Linked DNA regions of Stegostoma tigrinum. The protein of the gene in region 1 binds, or shares a complex with, the protein of each later gene. Links are inferred from orthologs where the notes say so. Each region holds a gene or a part of one and is shown on either strand. Other genes may lie near its edges.

Region 1 (10,997 bases):
TGAAAACAAAAGCAGAATTTTTACATTGAAGTGCTATTGAACCTGAAGCCAATGTAAGTCAAGAGAAAGGTGAAATGGTATTTTAATATCACATCTACTGATTAAGCATAATTTGTAAAGGGCAAGCAGTTTAGGGTCAGAGATAAAATGTGACATATTACTGCTAAGTGACGGATGTATCAAGAAGACTGAAAAAGAGACTATACTCATTTTGACCTGCTATGAACAAATAACATTAAGTCAAAATGAAATGAAGTTTAGTGGGATAGAGACTACATGCCCTAGAATTCAAAACGTCACTAGTTTTTTTCCATGCAAGAGCTCATTAAATCTTACCTGGGACTGCAGTTTACGGTGAAGTTCTGCAAACAAAGCAGCATCAGCCTCTCTCCTCTGCCTTGCCACTGTAAGAGAGAACATTAGCATAGAGAAATGTTCATCTTAAAGTCCCACAAGCAAAAGTTCATGAAGTAATGCACTCCATCTCAATTCTATGCACAAGCATGGGGAGACTTGAATTTTTATCAGTTCCATTAAGTTTGAATGGAAGTTAAGGAGCATTGTCACAAACCATAATTTATTCTTATCAAAAATCCATTAAAATGAATACATCTGTCATTGAAGGCTTTGCTTATATTGCCTATTTTCTGACCAAGTAGAAATCCAGCCACGATGTCCTACACCTCCTGCAGCCGCAACACAAGGGCTGAAACTTCCTTCACCAAAAAAAGGCAATGGTGCAGTGATGAGCACTAAATTAAGCATTTATTCCCAACGTTAAGTATCGTAACAAATTGAAAAAAAATACAAAGTACAGCCAAAGATTAATGGGAGGTCAAAGGTTGGCTGAATTTTTGAAACCAGCAAAAATGACTAAACACAAAACAGGAAAACCTGCTCTATGAAAGAAAGTTCGTTCTGGATATAAAAAAAAGCGAGGATTTCTACAAGTATATCAAACAAACAACAAATGGTAAATAAAGTCACATGGATAATGATTGATAAATGGATGATGTAGTTGAATTTCAAAAGGCATTCAGTAAGATGCCACATAAAATGTCACTTAGCAAGGTAACAGCTTATGGAGTTGGAAAAGTGTATTAGCATGGGAAGTGGATTAGTTATCTAACAACAAGCAGAAGGAAGATATAAAGCTTAAAGTTGGTAAAGTGTACCTAATGGAGTTGCACAGAAATCCATTGCTGGGCCTGAACTATTTACAATATCTTAATGACTTATATAACAGTAGCCAAAATGTGCTGATGACACAAAAGTAGGTAGCGATTTTAGTTGAGAAAGAAATACAGATAAGTATGTGGTGGCAGATGGAGATTGCGAAGGTGGCTTCTCAGTATTGAAGCAGAGGGCCTTCAGACCATCCTGCTGGGAAAAGGGTGTACACAGGGAGTGCACATCCATGCTGAAGAGGTGGAAGCCAGGACCACAAAACTGGAAATTAATGAATGATGTTAGAAGAGTCATGAACATAAGTAAGAAAAGATTGAAAAGAGTGAGGAATATGAAATAGCATCAAGACAGGAAGACATTAAGTTCAGTGGAGCAGGAACAGGTTTGAATTATGGGTCTGCCAGGGCAGTCCTGTTTGTGGAGCAGACTATGCGTGGTTGCAGGTGGTGGTGTGGGTTTGTGTTATGAGGTGAGAAGCTCTGGAGTGAGATCTCCAGTGGAGGTGAAGTCCATTTCGATCCTAGGAACTACAGCTTGATTGTCTTTTCCCTTTTCACCACCATAACTACTCTTTTGTCTTTTGCACAGGGCTTTTATACCATCTATCCCCTTGTTCCACCTCTGCCTCTGTCAAAAGTATTAAAAAAATGTTTTCCGACACAAGATTTTAAGAGGAGTTACACCAGACTCGAAGCAACTGTCTCTCTACAGATATTGCCAGAGCTGCTGAGTTTCTTTCCTACATTCTGTTTGTTTCAGACTTCATGCATTCGCAGTACTTTGCTTTTATTAGAAGTGTAAATTTTTTTCATCAGAGGATTGTTAGTCAGTGGAATTATCTTTCTCAGGGAACACTGGAGCCTGGTTTTTTTTTTAAATATTCAAGACTGAATTAGATGGATTTTTGTAAGGAAGTTCAGGGTCACGGAGACAGTCAGTAAAGTGGAGTGGGAGTACAATCATGAGTTATCGTATTATCAAATCACAGAACAGGATAAAAGCACTGAATGCAAACTCCTGTTCCTCATAATATCATCCTTGCAAAAGATCACAATGCTCAGTCTTCTCTTTAAAAAGACCATGTATAGCATTAGTTCTTGTGACCTGCTCCCTTGGAGGACCATCTTTTGTTTAGGCTGTTAAAGTCTATGTGCAAGTTTTTTCTTCCCACCGTGGTGTGGAACCCACCTTCTCTCCTCACCATTGAATATGCAACTATTCAATTTTGTACCAATCTTCCATGTAATTACTTGTTACATAAACTGGGTGATTCACAGAACTTGATAATAAGTATTGTTTACACAGCAATCACAGCAAGGACAGAGGATGAGATGAGTTCATTGACAGTGTTATATTTGACAGCGTTATTATTTCAATGAAAGGAGAGAGTACAACAACTAATACTATACATGGACTTTTTAAAGAGAAGACTTAGCATTGTGATCTTTTGCAAGGATCATTTTATTGGTAGACTGCACCTAATGAAAACACAGGTTTGACAAAAACTTAGATCAGACTACAACTTGGCCGTAATAATGATGACATAAAAGAAAAATTCCAAACCTAAGTGACCTGAATAGAGGCTGACAGAACATTTTCATTGATTACCAAACTATTTCAAGAAGCCAACTTACTTTCTTTCTTGATCTTTTCAGCGACAAGAAATTCATCTCTTTCCACGGTGGGAGCAAAATTACTTCCAATTACTCTCACAGCATACTGGAATTGTTGAGCCACATCAGCTATAAAAGACAATCGCACATGGTAAGGCCAATTCAAATCCAGAAGTCTGATGGGAAATTAAAACAAACTAAAACTTGGTCTCAAAAACAACAACAGACAAAACAAGTTCCAATTCAAACTGATCTCAATCACTTTGTAATACAGAACATTATACAATCAAAACCCTGTCTCAGGTATTTTCCCATGCTTCACACTGCAAATTTCCACATTTTTTTGCCAACTTATTATAGTTACAAATGTGGATAAACAATAAAAACTGCTGGAAAGATGCATTCAGAGAACTAAATGATGAAACAAAATGATGAAACAATATAAAGAGGACATGAGGCTATAAAGGGAGATAGACAGTTAGGTAGGCAAAGATCTGGAAACTGCACTATGAATGTAGGAAAGTGTGAAATAGTCTATTTTGGCAAAATGAGAAGAGGAAGAAGCACATCAAAACTGTGAGAGGTTGCAGGACTCCGAGATGCAGAGTTCTGTGAGTCCTCATGCACGAATTACATAAGGTTAGTATGCAGAAACAGAAAGTAATCAAAAAAGCTTGTAGAATGTAATAGTCTATTACCAGGTCAACTGAATGCAAGAGTAATGAGACTTGCTTCAATTATACAAAGCACTGGTGAGACCACATCTGGAGGACTGTGTACCGTACTGGTCACCCTACATATGGAAGGATGTTAATACACAGAAAGCAGTTCAGAGAAGGTTTATCGGACTAATACCTGAAACGAGCAGATTGCTTTATGGGGAAATGTGCTTGAGCCTAGGACACTACCCTGAGAACGCCTTCAGAAATGCTCTGGAGCTGAGAGGGTTGACCTCAAATCATTTTCTTTTCAGCTACTTATGGCTACAAAGAACAGACAGTTTTCCCTTGGCTCCCATGGATTCCATTTTGCTCGTGCTCCTTGATGCTACAATTTGTCAAAAGCAGCCTTGACGTCAAGTATGGCCACTCTTATCTGACCTTTGGAATTCAGCTCTTTTACCTACATTTGAACATAGGCTGTAACAAAGTTAGGGGCTGAGTGGCCAGTACCCAAATTGAACATCACTGATCAGATTACTGCTAAGCAAGTTCTGCTTCATAACATTTGATGACACTTTCCATTACTGTACTGATGATGTAGACTGGTCGGGCAGAAATTGGCCAGGTTTGATTTATCCTTTTTGTTTAAGAGGAAACAGCTGGGCAATTTTTCACATTACCAGGTAGATGTCGGTGTTATAATGTCCCAGGATGTTAAATAAGGAGTCTACAAGTGTTCACAGTACCTCAGATATGGTGTCATCAATGACCTGTATAACTGAAACAGAACCTCTCTATTGGTATTCATTTCCCCTTGTAATAAATTATTACATTGCATCAGCTTCCCTTATTACTTGCTGTTATGCATAGTAACCTTTTGCATTTCATGCATTAGCACACCCAGATATCTCTGCATAACAAGAACTCTGCAATCCTTCATAATCTCTATAATCTGCCCTTTTTCCCCAACTTTTGCTCCCAAAATGGATAATTTCACTTTTCCCACTTAAAACTCTATTTGTCAGACCTTTGTCCACTTGTTTAAGTTATGTCCTCTGTCTACTTCATAATTTACTTTGCTAACTACTACAGTGTCATTAGCAAATTTAGCAACCATATCTTTCATCCTTTCCTTCAAAATAACTGACACAAATTGTAAAAGGTTGAGATCACAACTTGTTTCTGGTACACTACTTGTTGCATCTTGCAAACCTGAAAGTGACACATATATGCTTATTGTCGCCTGTTAGCCAGCCAAGCTCTTATGTATGCCAATGCATTCCTTTCCCCACACTGTGATATTATATTTTCTGCAAAAACATTTGACACAGCACCTTACAAATGCTATTTGGAAAACCAACTGCAACACATCCGCTAGATCTGTTTTCTCCACAGCATGTTAACCTCCACAAACAGTTACAACAAATTGTTTAAAAATGATTTCCCTTGGACAAAGCCTTGTTGACACATTCCGATTATCTTAAATTTTTCAAACAGCCACACTAACATATTCATTAATAGCTTCCAGCATCCTCTTTTTGACATACGTTAAGCTAAATGGCATGCACTTTCCTGCTTTCTGTTGTCAACTTTGAATAAAGAAGCTCCACTTGCTATTTTCTAATCAAATGAAACTTCAAGTCGAGAGAATTTTGGAAAAACAAAATAGCATGTTAATTACCTTGCTAGCTATTTCCTGTACGTCCCTAGGATAAGGTTCACAGTACCTAGGAATTGGATAGTCTGCAGATCCAACAATTTACTCAGTACAACACACTTGATATAACTTTCCAAAGGTCCCTTCTGTTTTCCATTTTTGATATACACACATTTCTGACATGTTATTCGTACCCACTTGTGAAAAGTACTGCAACATTACCTGCTTAAGTAATCTGTCATTTCCTTATTTTTGATAAGTAATTCCCTAAACTGACTTCCTTAGTGCCAACAATTTTCTTTTACCATTTTTCCTTTCTAAATATCTATAGAAACCCAATGTTTGTTCTTACATTTCTATCTAGCTTTCTCACATATTCCAAATTTTCTAGTTATACAGTCTGTTTGTGACACCACAAGTGGAAAAGTGCAAACAGTTTGGTCATGCTTATGAAAGAATGTAACTGGATTAAAACAGTGCAAAGTTAACTTGATCAATTCTTGGGATAAAACATTATCCTCTGAGCAAAGGTTCGACATGTCAGCCCTATATCCGTTGGGGTACAGAAGAATGAGAGTTGATCTTAATGAAACATTTAGTATCGACGGAAATTAACAGGGTGGATGCAGGAAGGATAGTTCCACTTGTAGGAGAGATTGGAGCCAGCAGGCACAGGTTAAAAATGAGGATTCTCTCAATTATGACGCAGAATAGAAGAATCTCTTAAAAGAAGCTTAGTCCCCAGATTTCTCTTCCCCAAAAAGGGGAAGCACAATCACTAAATATTTTTAAGGCTGAGTTAGACAGATTCTTGACTGAAAAGGAAATCAACAGGTTTAGGGATGAGACAGAAAGGTGGTGCTGAGGCCAGGCGGAACAGCCATGGTGTTACTGATGGTGGAACATGCTTGCTTAACCAAAATGTCCGAATTTGTATGTTCACTGCAACTCAAAGTGAAATTTCTGGTGCCAGGGAATGAGTTCATATAACTTATAGGGAACATGATATTAATTATAGATTAAGTAGTAATGGACAACAGAAAGCAATAATCTAAAATGAAGTTTCCAAATTGGAGGGCAACTAATTTCAATGAGATGAGGAGAATCTAACCAGATAAAACTGGAAGAGTAATATGAATGAATGATAAACAAAAAGTCTTAGGAAAAATATCTTTGCATACTGAATGCTCATAATCTGGATCCCACTGTGTATGAGGGTCATAGAAGTGGAGATAACTAGTAATTTCACAAGGAATAAGGATGGCAATAAAGAAAAGTAAACCAGCAAAGCTACAGGGACAGAAAAAGGGAACAGAATTGATTGGATTACTCAATGAAGACCAGTATTGTTCTGATACACCAAACAACTTTCTTGTCTTACAACTGAATGTTAACTTTGCCTTTTCTCCAGCTACATTCGATTTACCCAGATTCTGTTTAGATTCCAAAAACCTGAACTCTTTCTTCTGATACCATCTCCTCAATTTAATTACTCCTCCTATCCCCGGTGATACTACAGGACTCTCACTATCCCTATATTGTCTGGCACTATTATAATCGTGAGCAACCCAATCTCTACTCAGCTGGATTTCCGATTGGAGGACTCGAATTTTACTCCTCTCAATTTCATTGCCGCCAACGTGAGAAAAACCTTCTAATCTTGTCCCTCTCCAACATCCTTGACGTTGCTGTACGCTTAGCCCCTCAAGAAAACAAGCCACCATTCGAGCCGCTCAATTCCACCTGCAAACATAACCCATCTAACGCCTCCCCTGCACGTCCGTACATCATTCCCTCACTCCACCTGGGCTTGTTTTTCATTCTCACCAGGGCTGATTCGCTGTCGACACATCCCTACCTCACTGTCGCCAGGCCATGCCAGGCCAGACCAGCAAGTCTCCGGCTTCACAACCTCCAGCCCCCGGCCCTACTCACCCTCATTGCGGCCCAGGATCCGGCAGCACAGGCTTTGCAACAGTAGATTCGGGGACTTGTGATCCACAGTCGCCATCGCCGGGCCTCCCACTGTCCTGTTCTAGGAGACCCAGTTCCCGGGTCGGAGCCGTTGCCTCGGCTTTTCCACAGTTCGCCCAGGTTCAATCCCGGTTCCGTCTTAGCTCCGACCCGGCGCCAAGGGCGCCATTTTTTTAAGAGCCCGCGGCATTGCAACGGAACTACAAACATCCACTTCCTGGTCAGGGGGTACAATCCGCTGCGAGGAGATGGGCGGGGTCTGAGGACCAGACGCAAGCACGGCGCCGAGTAGGTGGAGTCAGGAGGGTGCAGCGGCTGGCCAGAACGTTGCGTGGGCGGGGCTATGTGATGGGAGCGTGGTCAGGATAGGGTTAGCGGCGAGTGGGCGGAGACAAGTAACAATGGATGGGTGGGGTCCTGTGCAGGGGCGGGGACGGAGTGGGAGGTGGAAGTAGTATCGTAGATAATAGGAACTGCAGATGCCGGAGAATCCGAGATAACAAAGTGTGGAGCTGAATGAACACCGCAGGCCAAGCAGCATCTTAAAAGCACAAAAGCTGACGTTTCGGGCCTAGACCCTCTGATTAAGGGTCACGGCCCGAAATGTCAGCCTTCCTGCTCCTATGATGCTGCTTGGCCTGCGGTGTTCATCCCGCTCTACATCTTGTTATCTGGGATGCGGAAGTGTGGGGAAGAAGGTGGGTCCAATGATGACGGGCGCGGAGCATGGAGTGGGCGGGGCCAGTATGGACGGCGCAGTCGGACAGCGGTGAGGTATTAAGATGTGGGCGGGGCAGTCGGAGAGAGGTGAGGTAAAAAGGGACAGAGCCTGCGGACGGGTGGCGGGTCGTTAATAGGGGGGCGGGGCTATCCTTCGGAACCTGGCGATGACTGGGTTGCTCGTGAAGTAGGCCGTGCAATGATATGGCGGGTTATAGGGCAGTGTCGTGGAGTGGGCGGGGTGAAATAGGTAACAGCTGGCACGAGGAAGAGCCTCTCGGTGAAGGCAAGGCTGTGAGGGGAAGATGCCGTTTCCATGGTTACTGGCGGCCTGCTGAGGGTGGAGCTGGCTTTTGTTAATCTTCCCGCAGCCATCGTCCTGTGCCTCACACTTTGAAAATTCGTTGTGAGGTTTTCTTGCTGCGATTTAAACATCCTGCACACTGTTTCCTTGTATTTTGATGCAGGTGTTGTTTTAAGTTTATCCGTGTTGGTTGATGAGCCTGCCATTTATTGCTCATCCCTGATGGTAACAATGGGTCATTTCAAGTGATAGCTCTGTGTCAGTAACATTGCCGTGGGTTTGGAGTCACATTTATAAGGGAGGGAAAGCGAACCTTATCAGAGGTAGCAAGAACTGCAGATGCTGGAGTCAGACTTGACACAGTATGGAGCTGCAGAGGCGCAGCAGGCCAGGCAGCATTGGTGTCGTCAACTTTCCTGCTCCTCTGATGCTGCTTGGCCAGCTGTGTTCATCCAGCTCTACACCTTGTCATCTCTGACAATAAATGCTCATCTTAAAAATAGTGCAATGAAATCTTTTACGTAACCCTTAGAAGACAAATGCGTGTTCAGTTTAACAACTCAAAGTCATACAGCACAGAAACAGGCCCTTTGGTCCAACCTGATGAACGTAATCTCAAACTAAATTAGCCCCTCCTGCCAACACCTCTGAAAAGCTGTTATGTCCAGTGTGAAGCACTCTTACTTCAGACTTGAGTAGAAATTTAGTCTTAAGAGGTCACAGCTGGACATCTAGGTCAGCCAGCCCTGGTCAGTACAATAGAATTCCTTCTGTAAAGGGCATGAATGAACCACAAACCAATAGTTGTACGGCAACCTTTTCTCTCTTTCACATTAACTATTAATAAATTAATTGGTCACAATTCATTTGACTTCTGAGATTCACTGCCTGCTCAACTTCCAGTACGTACTGATGTAATTGCTGTTAATTTTGTTATTCTCTTCCTCTCTGATTAAGTGCCCTTAATCTTTGTCATTTTAAAATCTGAAACAAATCCAAGGAAAATGACTTACCTCTGATTTGGTTTCAAAATACTTTTAGGCATTGTTACATTTATTGTAATGTAAGTGTCTTGGTGCCTCATTGTCTCATCTCAAGCTTCCCCATGGACATAAAGGTTATTCATGTGACACTTTTACAGAAAGACTTTCATTATAGAAGTTTACTGATTGAAAGCCAAGGGAAGATCAGAGATTCACTTTTCAAAAACTTTCTTGGGGACTGTGTTTTGGAGACATGTGTCACGATCCAGTGCTTTTTTTAAACAGTGAAAATATGTAGGATTGTGTTGTCAATTTAACATATTAGTGTTTCATTGATTAAATACACTGTATTTAAGAATTGCAAAAGTTGTTTTTCAATTTTAATTTACTGAATATTAGATTTAATCCTGATTTTCCTATAATCCTTCACCATATTTAACATATTTTGAAAATTGAGGTTGCTGGTTATCATTAGATAACATCTCTCTCTGCAATTTTAGATATACAATCAGCTGAATTATCTGTTGATTATATTTATTAAATCTGTTGCACCAAAGAAAATCAATAAAAATTAGACTTCACTCCAGAAGCCAGTATGATGAAGTGTTAGTTGGTGTTCTGTTTTGCTTTCTAGCATCTAGGCAGCCACAACACTGGAGACTGACTGTGACAGCATCAAAATAAGCTTGTGATCCCAAATTTTCCAGGGCTCAGTCCCAGAAACATAAGACATGGACAAAAGATCTATTCAGGACCATCTTCCTCCCTAACCCATAAAATTTCAAAAAGCTTCAGTGAACATTTAAGCATCCAGACAAATCTAAGCAAGAACAAAAGTAACATTGCTTTGTACTATGTCTTTAACATATGAAACAGTCTGAAGATGCTTTGTGAAGGATTATCTGTCAATATTTGATACCGATCCATGTAAAGATGTATGGGGGCAAATAATAAAAGGCTTGTCAGGGAGGTAGGAGGAGAAAGGGATGAAGAGGTTTCGAGAGGAGGTTCTAGAGCTGAGGGCCTAGGCATGTTGAAGGTTTCAATGCCAATGGTAGAGTAAATGAAAGAACAAATACATGAGAGACCCGAATTTGAGAATTAGAGGTTGCAGATTGATTCTAAGGCTTGAAGAAGTTATTGGGGTGAGGGGATGTGAGGGATTCAAAAACACTGATAAGAATTTTAAAACCAACAAATTGCCAGACTGAAAACCAGTTTAGCCCATGTGACGTAGTGTTGTTAAATGAACAGCTCCTGTTGCTGTTAGGATATGCACAACAGATTCTTGAACCAGCTGATTCTTAAAGTTCATAGAGACTCAAAAGTCAGGGTTTTAAGACATGGTCCTGGGCAGAATAATATTCAAGACATAGTAGGAACTGCAGATGCTGCAGAATCTGAGAAGGTGTAGAGCTGGATGAACACAGCAGGCCAAGGCACATCAGAGGAGCAGGAAAGCTGACATTTCGGGCCTATAACCTTCTATTCAAAATGGTCACATTTATGGCTTATAGAGACGTTTAAAAAGAGGTTTTTGTAACATTGTGGTGAAGGAGATCTTGAAGAAGGAGTCATACAGCACAGAATTAGACCAACTTGTCTGTGTCAACCAGGCATCCCAATCTAACTTAGTTTTGTTTGCCAGCAGTTGGTCCATATCCCTCTAAATCCTTCCTATTTACATACTTGTCTGGATGTCTGTTAAATGTTGCAATTGTACGCAATTTCATCTGGCAGCCGTTCTGTACACGCATTACCCTGTGTGTTTAAAAAATAGTTACCTCTCAGGTCAGTTATAAATCTTTATCCTCTCACCTTAAACCTATGCCCTCTAGTTCTTGTGTGATTTTGAAAATATCAGCAAAGTATTCGCCAGGAAGTGAAGTACCTGTT
Region 2 (10,997 bases), about 12 Mb from region 1:
GGCCAGGTCCCCGAGGAAAGAGACTGGTCACCACCCAGGATTGAACTGTGCAAGGCGAACATGATAACCACTACCCTATTAAAACTGTGCCAGATCCTTGGTGTACTGTCCTGCACCCAAGTACTTTCAACTGCTTTATCAATCACTTTTCCTTCCAACCAAGAGACATTTACTGGTGACTGTAGGTGGTTGTTTTAATTCACAACCACACAGATAGTGAAATGGCGATACCTACATGCAGCAAGACCTGGACAACAATTAGGCTTCAGCTGCCCAAATTTAAGTAACATAGACACCATGAGTGCCAGTAATAATATTCAGAATCTAACTACACCCCCCCCATCCCATATTCAATTACGTTATCATCTTAGAAGACACTACTGTTAAGATTTCTGTAAAGACATGACTTAAAAATGCAATGAAATTCTGAACTACAAAAAGAACAGAGATTACACTTTACGCTGTAACAAAGCAGAAATCAAGATGGATCAAACATTACTTACAGGTTAGTTAATTCATGCATAGAATTACTCATACATACAAAATAATGCTCCAAACCAAACTCCCTACAATCAGTTATGTACTCTGGTTGCTAACCAGAAAATAATCTCTTCTTACCAAATCTGGCCTCTCTCATAGCCATCCTTGTTTTTATTTCTTTGTGGCAACTTCCAGATGCAGATATACTTTGATAACTGCATTTCTAATTCTTTCTCTGTGATTTGTTCTTAGTGATCGAGATATGCATCATTTTTGGTTTTAACTGATTTCATTCTAACATTCATGCTTGCTGTTAACAAAACCTATCTACTAGTTTTTGTAAATCTTTTCTGTGCTTGGTGCAAGTTTTGGATCTGCAAATCCAACCCAGTTATCACAGCTTCCCTTACTGGTTTCTCAAAACCGTCGCTTTGGGCGCCACAGTCAGGTGTGCAGCACTGCAGCAACAGTCCTACTATTACTACCAGTTTTCTAGCAGCTTCACTTCTCCACGCTAGGTCAAAACTTCCAGTGTTCTTCACCAAAATTCAATTTGATCAGATCACAAATCAGAATGGTGTATTTTAGATATCGCTGCTATATAAATCTTCAGGGGCCCCATTTGTTCAGTTTCCTTTCTTTTGAATTGAACCTCAAATTTCCACAAGTATTCTGCTCAATTTCCAATATCAAAAACATTTCAGCTTGACATATCTGGAGAGTTGCGAATGGTGCTGTACATTGTACAATCATTGGCGAACATACCCACTTCTGACCTTATGTTGGAAGGAACGTCATTGATGAAGCAGCTGAAGATGGTTGGGCCTAGGACAATACCCTGAGGAACGCCTGCAGAGATGCAGACATTCATATTCCTAAAATTTATTGTGCATTTATTTCCTTGATCTGAGGTTTTCTAATTATCCTTTACTTCTAGGGCTAATGGTAAGGTTCTTAGTAGTGTAGATGAGCAGAGAGATCTCGGTGTCCATGTACACAGATCCTTGAAAGTTGCCACCCAGGTTGATGGGGCTGTTAAGAAGGCATACAGTGTTTTAGCTTTGATTAATGGAGGGATCGAGTTCCGGAACCAAGAGGTTATGGTGAAGCTGTACAAAACTCTGGTGTGTCCGCACTTGGAGTATGTGCACAGTTCTGGTCACTGCATTATAAGAAGGATGTGGAAGCTTTGGAAAGGGTGCAGAGGAGATTTACTAGGATGTTGCCTGGTATGGAGGGAAGGTCTTACGAGGAAAGGCTGAGGGACTGGAGGCTGTTTTCACTAGAGAGAAGAAGGTTGAGAGGTGACTTAATTGAAACATATAAAATAATCAGAGGGTTAGATAGGGTGGATAGGGAAAGCCTTTTTCCTAGGATGGTGATGGCAAGCACGAGGGGGCATAGCTTTAAATTGAGGGGTGAAAGATATAGGACAGATGTCAGAGGTGGTTTCTTTACTCAGAGAGTAGTAAGGGAATGGAACGCTTTGCCTGCAATGGTAGTAGATTCGCCAACTTTAGGTACATTTAAGTCACCATTGGATAAGCATATGGAATAGTGTAGGTTAGATGGGCTTGAGATTGGTATGACAAGTCGGCACAACATCGAGGGCCAAAGGGCCTGTACTGTGCTGTAATGTTCTATGTTCTATGAACCCGCAGCGATGGCTCCGAATTGTTTCTGCTTGAAACTGCAGTTCTGTCTTTCCTGGGAAATATCATGAAAATGGTGCTGAAACTATCAAATTGACACTTCAATGAGTTTCTCTCCCCACAGTAACTAGAGTACATGGGCATGCTTCAAGCTGAGGTGTTTATCCAAGAAAGCATTTAAGTGAAGTTCACCAGACTGATTCCTGAAGTTGCAGGTGTGTTACATGAGGAGAGGTTGGGCCCATTTTTAAAAGAAAAATATTTATTCACTTGTGGGATTATGGGCATCGCTGGCTGGCCAGCATTTATTGCTTATCCCTAGCTGTCATCTTGAACCACTGCCGTCCACATGCTGTAGATTGACCCACATTGCATTTAGGCAGGAAATTCCTAACTAGACCCAACTGGTCCTGTATGCATTGCAGTTCAGAAGAAATGGGGAGATTTCATTGAAACATACAAAATTCTTTTAGAACTGGCCATACTGAACGCAGGGATGACGTTTCCCCTGGCTAGGGCAACCAAAACAAGGCATTAAGGTTTCAGTATATGCAATATGCCATTTTAGACCGCGATGAGAAGGCTGGTAAGCCTGTGGAATTCTCAATCACAGAAGACTGCAGAGGCCAAAGTATTGAATTTTACTTAAAGCAATAGATTTCTCGAGGCTAAAGGGATGTGGAAATCAGGGTTCCAGCACTGTGATAGAAAATTAGGCACAGCCATGTTGACATAAGCATGTGACATAATTTGACACAGTCTCCTCAGTCAAGTGTTTATCTTGCACTGCTATACCCAGTTTATTATGCCATGACTCTGAAGAAAGCATCTGCCTCCACAGCAAAACTCTGCAACCGACACCAATTAACACACTTTTCCTCCCAGAGTGAACAGTGACAGCTCAAAATTACCGCTGTTGTTTAGGCAGCCTCCAATGTAACCCATCAGCTGTGAAAAGTGGGAGAAGTTGAAAATTAGGGAAAAAGAAAACATAACCTTGTAAGGCATTCCAGATATGCAAAGTAAAGCTGTTACAGAGAGAGGGAGAAGTGGAAAGAATTCCACCCTATGAGTCCATGGTTTTCAATGACATTCAACCTTTCTTTCAAATTCTGAAGAAGTGTCACTGGCTTTGAAACCTCAATTGCTTTTCTCTACACAAATGATGCCAGGCCTGTTGAGTTTCTCCAGATTTTTGTTTCAGATCTCCAGCATCCAAAGTTCTTTGTTTTATTTTAAATTCCCACGTCTTCCCCACATTTCATGGGAGCCCAATAGAAACATCACCAAATCCAAGACGCTGCTTTTGCTGCTCTCATTAACACTGACAAAAAATACAATAAAACAGTGGAATGCGTAATGGTCAACGTAGCTGAATCGCTGGATGCTGCTGGGGTCCACTAATAGCCGACAATGGATTGGTCATCACAGAAGCCCATATGATGATAGGGCCTGGAATGTGGTAATAAAAGAGAGATCGACAAATGTCTTCAAGCCCTCAAAATTACTGAAGCTGATACTAAATCCTGAAGGCTCCAGGATCCTCAAGTGAAAAATGAACTGCTGTTTTCCAGCTTTGCTCGTTAGCACAGCAAGCCTGAAACAGTGATGCTGGCTAGGGAACACAATGGTGTGATGAAATTGCGGGCCATCAGAAGCTGTCATGTTTTGTACACAAAACATAGGTGTTCGGCAAAGCGGTCGTCCAATTTGCATTTCATTTTTTTAGTGTAGAGGAGACCATATTGTGAGCACTGCATGCAATATACCAGATTGAGTAAAGTGCAGGAAAATTGCTGCTTCACTTGGAAGGTGTGGGTGGAGCCTTTGACAGTAGGGAGGAAAGAAGGAAATGGGCAGGTTTTACACCTCCTGCAATTGCATGGTAAGTTGCCACGTGAACAGAAGGTGGTGTTGGGAGTGGAGGAGAAGTGGTCCAAGGTGGCTAGGAGGGAACAGTCCTGGCAGAAAGCTGGCAAGGAAAGAGAGGAGAATGTTGGTGGCATGCTGCTAGAGGTGGAGGAAATGGTGTCTTATGATCCTTGGATGTGGGTGCTGTTGAGGTGGACGATGAGGACCACTGGGACCCTATTGGTTTTGGAGTAGTAAGGGAAGGGACGAGGGTTTAATTGCACAAGATGAGCTGGACACAGCTAAAGATCCTGTTGACCACAGCAGCGGGGAATTCTTGGTTGAAAACAACGTTGGAATAGACTCTTTACAGGAAGCACGTATGAGCAAGTATAGACCAAGAACTGTGAGAATTGATGAGTTTGTAATGCTTATCCCCAGAAATGGAAACAGATTTTGAAGATGGGGAGAGAAGAGCTGGAGGAGAAATTGATATCTTTCCAATTCTGGATGAGGGAAGCAGCATCAATAATGTCAATACACCAGAGAAGGAGTTGTGATAGGAGCCCCAAGAAGAGCTGGAACAAGAAATATTCTATCTACCCATAAGGAGATAGGCATTACTGGCATGCTGATACCTACGGCCACAGTTTCAATTTGAAGAAAATAAGAGGAGTTTAAGGGGCAGTTATTCAAAGTAAGGATGAGCTCGGAAGAGTAGGAAGTATACAGGGCAGTTCAGGCCTTCTTCCAGGAAGTAGTGGAGGGCCCCGAGATCATCCCATTGGTGGTTGGAGGTGTAATGGACTGCACGCCCATTGTGAGGAGCAGGAGTCACACAAGCTGGAAATTGGCAAAGCATAAGAAGAATCACAAATGTAAGTGGGAAGGACCTGGAGAGGAGAGGAAAAAACAGAAAATCAAATCGGGTTGGGACAAAAGAATTTGTGGGCCAGGATCACGCAGAAACAATGGTCTGCCCAGGCAGTCCTGTTTGCGGATTTTCTCTGTAGCATCTGTTCTGACGATGCCAGCTTCTGCAAGGGGCCACTGAAATGTCCACCTCTTTCTCAACTGAGGATTCCCTGCTACCATGGTTGACAGGGCCCTCAGCCACATCCAACCCATCCCCCGCACTTACGTCCTCACTCCTCCTCTTCCCACCCTAACACGGATAGGGTCTCTCTGGTCCTCACCTGCCACCACACCAGCATCACATTTAAAGGTTCATAAGCCACCATTTCCACCACCTCAAGTGTGATGCTGTCACCAGACACATTCCCCTTCTCTTACTTGTGAGTCTTCTACAGGCACCATTTCCTATGGTATAACTTGGTGCATGCTTCCTCCGTTCCCAATACATACCACATCCCTGTGGCACTTTCCCAGAAATGTGCAGAAGGTGTAAGAGATGCCAGTTTACTTCTTCACTTGTCACAATCGAAGGCACCAGACATCTTCCAGATTAAGCAGTGATTTACATCCGCTTCACTTACTCATCTACTGTATTTGCAGATCACAACCTGGTTTCCTCTACGCTGGGGAGTCAAAACGCAGATTGGGTGGCCATGTTGCAGAACACCTACGTTCTGCAAAAATGACAGCTCCAATTACCTGCAACTTCAACACACCACTGTGCTCCTTGGCTAACATTTATGTCTCAGGTTTGCTGCAGTGCTCCTGCAAAACTCTTTGAAGGGTCAATATGCACCCAATGGGCTGAATGGCTTGTAGAACCCCTGCAGTCTGGAAACAAGAGGCACAGTAAATTGTATGGGCCTATATTTTTGAACTTGCCTAGTCAAATTAGCTTGCTGTGTACTGTTCATGCTTAAATGGATTTGACAAGAAGCATAAAAATCTAAGAAATAGGAGTAGATCATTCTAAGGCCCACATTGCATTAATGAATAAAAGAGAAATTCTGCCTTTTGAGCCCAGTCTGCCATTTAATGAGGTCATGGCTTCTCCGTCATCACCAATTCCTACACAATCCCTGGATATTACTTTTAAAAGTGGAAAGCTATCCATCTCACTCTTGAAAATACTCAAGAACTAGGATTCTATACAGTTTTTTTTGTGGGTGGGGGGATGCTTGAGCGAGAATTGAACAGATTTGCTATCCTCCGCGAGAACAAGTCCCTCCTCATCTCACTCCCTGAAAGGTTGTCCCCTCATTCAGAGGCTGTGACTTCCGGGTTCTGGACATGGGTGTGCGGAGGGGCGTGCTATATCCACCCTGTCGAATCATATTCGCATGTCTGAACGGAGATCACCTCTTCTGGTCACCGAGGAACACAGGTATGAGCTGTCTACTGAAATCTTTTGCTCGTAGGGTACATCCTTCTCCATCCAGAAGGAAAGTAAAACAAAGTAGTGGAGATCCCAACCCGAAACATCAACTTTCCTGCTCCCTCTGATGCTGCCTGGCCTGTTGTGTTCCTCCAGCTCCACACTGGAGAAACTCAGAAGGTCTGGCTGCTCCTGTGGAGGGAAGGCAGCATTAACGTTTCGACATTCTTCCCCTCCCAGGAATTTGGAGTGATGAAGCCGCGATCAACTCCCTTTTAATGACATGGAGGATCGGTAGGAAGACAAGAACCGCCAACTTCAACACGAAATCACTCGGTTCTCTCTCACACTCACCGTCCATGGTCTCCCTCACCGCGTTCAGGTTAGCAGCGTTCGCCATTGCTCCACCTTTCACCCGGAACCACAGCCGCCCGGTCCCCGCCCATTACATCACCACATCTTTAAAAAAAACTAAACTAGTCACCGTAGCAAGCAGGAAACTGTGGTAATAAATCTTGTGAAATAACCGGTCGGCGTCCAACCGATGAAACGGGATCGACTTATTATCACTGTGAAGGTTTTCCTCTGGGTCAGCGGCCGTTTAGAATCTTGGCTGCCGTTTGAATCTGATTGGTTGATGCTGGCGCGCACCCGCCGATTGGTTGCCGTCTCACCGCCCAAGGAGACATTCCGATTGGCTAACGATAACTGAGACCGGTAATTGGCTATATCCCTTGCCAATGTTTGTGTTTCTTTGGCTGCCACCATCCAAACCAGGTGATTGGCTGGCTGCGTTCGCTGCGGTAGCCGCTGATTGGCCAGCGGCTGCGGGAGGGACATTCAAGGCAACGAACTCGGTGAGAGGAATATTGAAGGTAAGATCTACTTAAATATCACTTTAAAATAGAGAGAGAGACACTAGTGTCAAATAGTGTGTAAAACGGAGAGAAACTGGGATGGAATATCATCAATGTCTGGTAAAGCAGAGAGACTGGGGTGAAGTTTCATCAATATCATATAAAATGGAGAGAGATTGGTGTGAAATTTCATGTAAAACTAAGGGTGCCTCGGGTGGAATACCATCAATAAGTAAGAGAGACTGGGGTAAAATATAATCAGTTTCATATAAAACGGAACGAGACAAGGAAAATATCAATATCTTGTAAAACACGGGAATCGATAAAATGTTGTCGATATTATCTAAAACACGGATAGATTGGGTGATATATTATCAACATCATGTAAAATAGAGAGGAACTGAGGTGATATAATATCAATAACATTTAAAACAGACATACTGGGTGAAATATTGTAAACTGGAAAGTCTTGACTGAAAATATCACATAAAACAGAGGGTAGAGTGAAATATCAATATCATGTAAAATAGTGGCAGGTAAAATATCGTAAAATCTTTTAAAATAGAAAAATGGCTAAAGGATTGTTGATATCATGTTTTTGTTGATTCTTAGGAGACTTGAAAGGGTAAATGCAGACAGGTTGTTTATCATTCTGAGTGACTCTAGGAGCAGAGGGTTTAATTTCAGAATAGGGAGTCACCCATTTAAGTCAAGGATGTGGATGAATCACTTCTGAGAGTAGTGAATCGGTGGATTTTTTTTAAAATCTGGAGGGCTACACAGGCTGGGCTGTCAAGCACATTTTCTGTTTGTATACAAAGCATCTTAAGCATACATTTTAATATATAGTATATATGTGTTTAGTAGACTAAGTATATAAGGCTATGATAATCTGCAAGGGAATCTAGGGTTATGGGGAAAAGGCAGGAAAGTGGATTGATGATTATGAGCTTGATCTCATTGATTGAATCTCCTCCACGAATGAGCTGAGTGGCCTACTTTGCCTATATCTTATGCTCAAAAGCACGCTATGTGTCCTGCATCTCTCACACACGTGTTTCAAGAAAATGTTCATATTTAACTTCTCCAGGACAATTAGGGATGGACAATAAATGCTGGCCCAGTCAGCAATGCCCACATCCCGTGGATAAACATTTTAGAAAAATTAGTCGAGTTCTTGAATATATTACATAGCATGAAAAACTGCATTATTTATTGTATAAAATGTTTGCTCAGCTAGAAATTAATTCGTGTTCTTTATATGTGAAGAACCCAAATCTGCATAAAATAGTTCTTGGACAATGGATACAGCAGCTAAACGAATTATATGAAGAATGTCATTAGTTAATGTGACTCCACAGAAGCAAGATATGTAAGCAGATGTGCTGTGATACACTTGCTGATGTAGTGCAGTTATCATAATATGCTTAGGCTAATTAGTATATTAAAGATATCTGATTAGTAAGGAACTTTCTCAAACAAAATTAAGATTATTCTTTCAGCTTGTCTGGGTAAGGCAGGCTGAGGGTTGCAGAGGGGATAACCTAAATGATCATGGCAGCACAGTACACAAAGACACTCGATGGGAGTAAGAAAGAATGTAGTTGTGGTAGGACACAGGATTGTGAGGGAGATTAACAAAGTTTTCTGCAGCAAAAAAGCATGAGTCCAAACAGTTGTGTTGCCTGACAGCTGCCACAACGCGGGACACCTGCTTGGGGCTGGAGACGAACTTGCAATGGGAAGGGAAGGACCCAATTGCCATGGTCCACGTCAGTACCAGCGACATAGACAGAACAAAGAAGGAGGCTCTGCATTGTCAGTATGAGGAGCTGGGTGCAAATTTTAAGAAGCAGAACCTCAATATTCATAATCGCTGTGTTATACTTGAGTCACTTAAAAACTGCCATAAGGTAAATCAGACTTGACAATTGAATGTATAGCTGAAAGACGACTGTCGTGGCAGAAATGGGTTCCAGTTCATTGGTACTGACACCAGTTCTGGGAAAGTGGGATCTGGATAGATGGGCCGAAGCATTTCGAACATTTTCCAATTTTACTACTTCGTGTTGCAGAAGAGTCTTTTCAGACTTGAAATGTTAATCTTATTTCTCTCTCCATAGGTATTACCAGATCTACTGAGATTCTACAGCATTTCCGGTTGTTGTTTCCAGTTTCCAATATCTGCAGTATTTTGTTTTCATTAAAAGAGTAGGTGTGAGACATATGTGAAAATTTGACATTAAAAAACATATTGTTTACTTATTTCACAAAGATTCTTGTTTCCCCAATAATAGAAGTGGAAAGGTTCTACTTACTATAAGGAAGAGGAATGGGAGATTTGAAGAGTGAGACCAGGGTACATGTAACACCAGACACACCCGGGCGACCTCCTGTTTCAAATCCTTTTGAGAGCCCCAGTGATTATGCAACATTGCATGAACCAGTAGTCCCTAGTCCCTCTGTCTTCAAATTAGTGAAAACACCTGATTCACAGGTATGTTTGACACTCCTTAAAGAGAATTCTTTTCTCTCATATTGAATACAAAATATTGTAATTTAATTGATTTTGTGTGCTATAAAAATAGCAGTGTGGAATGTCAAGTTTTTTTTTAGGACAAAGGCGTTTTACCATATGAAAACTATATTTGAAAGAGTGATACCTGGTTGTATTAGCCATTAGAAAATTAAAGTTATATTAAAGAGATAGATCGAAGTTAGAGGAAATGCTTTAAAGCAAGGAAGATTCTGATTATCAAATTTTCGTTACATTTGTTTGGGATCACTTAGTCTGTGGTTAGTTTGAAAAGTGCCAGAAACAGTACATATTCTTCATTTTAGCCCATATCATAACATTGAGGCTAGCACTGAGGGAAGAGCTGTACTGGTGTTGACTTTCACTGCATTCCAACAGTGACTACAATTCAAAGTATGTTTCATTGGCACTTTGAAGTGTGCTGAGGTTTCAGAAACCAGCTATAAATGTAAATTATTTCTTACTTATGTTGGATGGCTTGAAAATATACTACTTTCCTTGCTTAGACACCTGGAAAATTCAGATGGTCCATTGGAGAGCTTGCCATCCTGCATCCTATTGAAATTGATCCAGAAGATGTTCACCAGCAATCTGCATACATGAGCTGCACCAGGTTACCAGTTTTCTTTACTATGACTTGCATACAATGCAGCCATTAGATCAGCATATATGTAATTAGATGCCCTTTCTCATTTACATGTATTAGAGTTTTGTTTGCCATTTTGATGGATAAGATGATGAGGCACTCTAGAGTCATTTTCTTGCTTGTGTTTCAATTCCAAGTGATTTGACAATATCAACATATCCTCAATGAATTCAGTATGTGATTAATGCTCCTTCAAAAGCAACTTCCAAATGCACACCCTCTCTCACCTAGAAAGACAAGGGGAGCAGATAATCGGAACACCAGCACCTACAAGTTCCCCTGCAGCCACCACCATCGTGACTTGAAACAATATCACCGTTCCTTCACTGTCTATGGGTCAAAAACCTGGATCTCCCTTCACAACAGTGCAGTGGGTCTCCCTACACGTTTAAGAAGGCAGCTCACCATCTGGACAACTAGGAATGGACAATAAATGTTGGCCTAGCCAGTAAAGCCCATAAATTACCCATAAGAACTATGAGCAGGAGTAGGCAACTCGGTCTGTCAAGCCTGTTCCACCACTTGATCATGGTTGATCTTATTTCAGCCTCAACTCCACTTTCCTGCCCACTCTCCATAATCCTTCAACTCATTACTAATGAAAAGTCCATCTCCTCCTTAAATTTACATGAATGTCCCAGCATCCACTGCACTCTAACAAATTTCACAGATTGATGACCCTTTA

What was found. The genes of interacting proteins can lie anywhere in the genome.
Region 2: the proteins of tubgcp3 (region 1) and mzt1 are in contact, whole or in part, in a cryo-EM structure (PDB 7QJD), measured with the Homo sapiens proteins. The link is inferred for Stegostoma tigrinum from reciprocal best matches to the Homo sapiens genes TUBGCP3 and MZT1. Residues at the interface, in NP_006313.1 of Homo sapiens: Lys7, Pro9, Leu12, Leu13, Asn15, Leu16, Cys17, Arg19, Ile20, Leu21, Arg23, Val28, Gln31, Tyr34, Ala35, Val38, Ile39, Asn42, Phe43, Ala44, Pro45, Thr46, Ile58, Leu62, Arg67, Asp70, Phe74, Leu77, Lys80, Leu81; in NP_001065243.1 of Homo sapiens: Asn17, Ala20, Val21, Glu23, Thr24, Val27, Leu28, Glu30, Ile31, Ser32, Arg33, Ile34, Leu35, Asn36, Thr37, Leu39, Asp40, Glu42, Thr43, Ile46, Cys47, Val48, Arg49, Leu50, Cys51, Glu52, Gln53, Gly54, Ile55, Asn56.

What each region holds. Positions count from the first base shown.
Region 1 is NC_081359.1:13,325,136-13,336,132, reverse strand, and holds the start of tubgcp3 (gamma-tubulin complex component 3), read right to left. Parts: upstream 7,333-10,997; 5' UTR 7,132-7,332; coding exon 7,056-7,131; intron 2,931-7,055; coding exon 2,823-2,930; intron 405-2,822; coding exon 337-404; intron 1-336. UniProt on the Homo sapiens protein: Component of the gamma-tubulin ring complex (gTuRC) which mediates microtubule nucleation.
Region 2 is NC_081359.1:25,379,066-25,390,062, forward strand, and holds the start of mzt1 (mitotic-spindle organizing protein 1), read right to left. Parts: upstream 6,750-10,997; 5' UTR 6,674-6,749; coding exon 6,628-6,673; exon of another isoform or gene 6,514-6,627; intron 6,283-6,513; exon of another isoform or gene 6,228-6,282; intron 1-6,227. Other genes in the region: bora (protein aurora borealis), read left to right, coding at 9,463-9,627, 10,173-10,279. UniProt on the Homo sapiens protein: Required for the recruitment and the assembly of the gamma-tubulin ring complex (gTuRC) at the centrosome.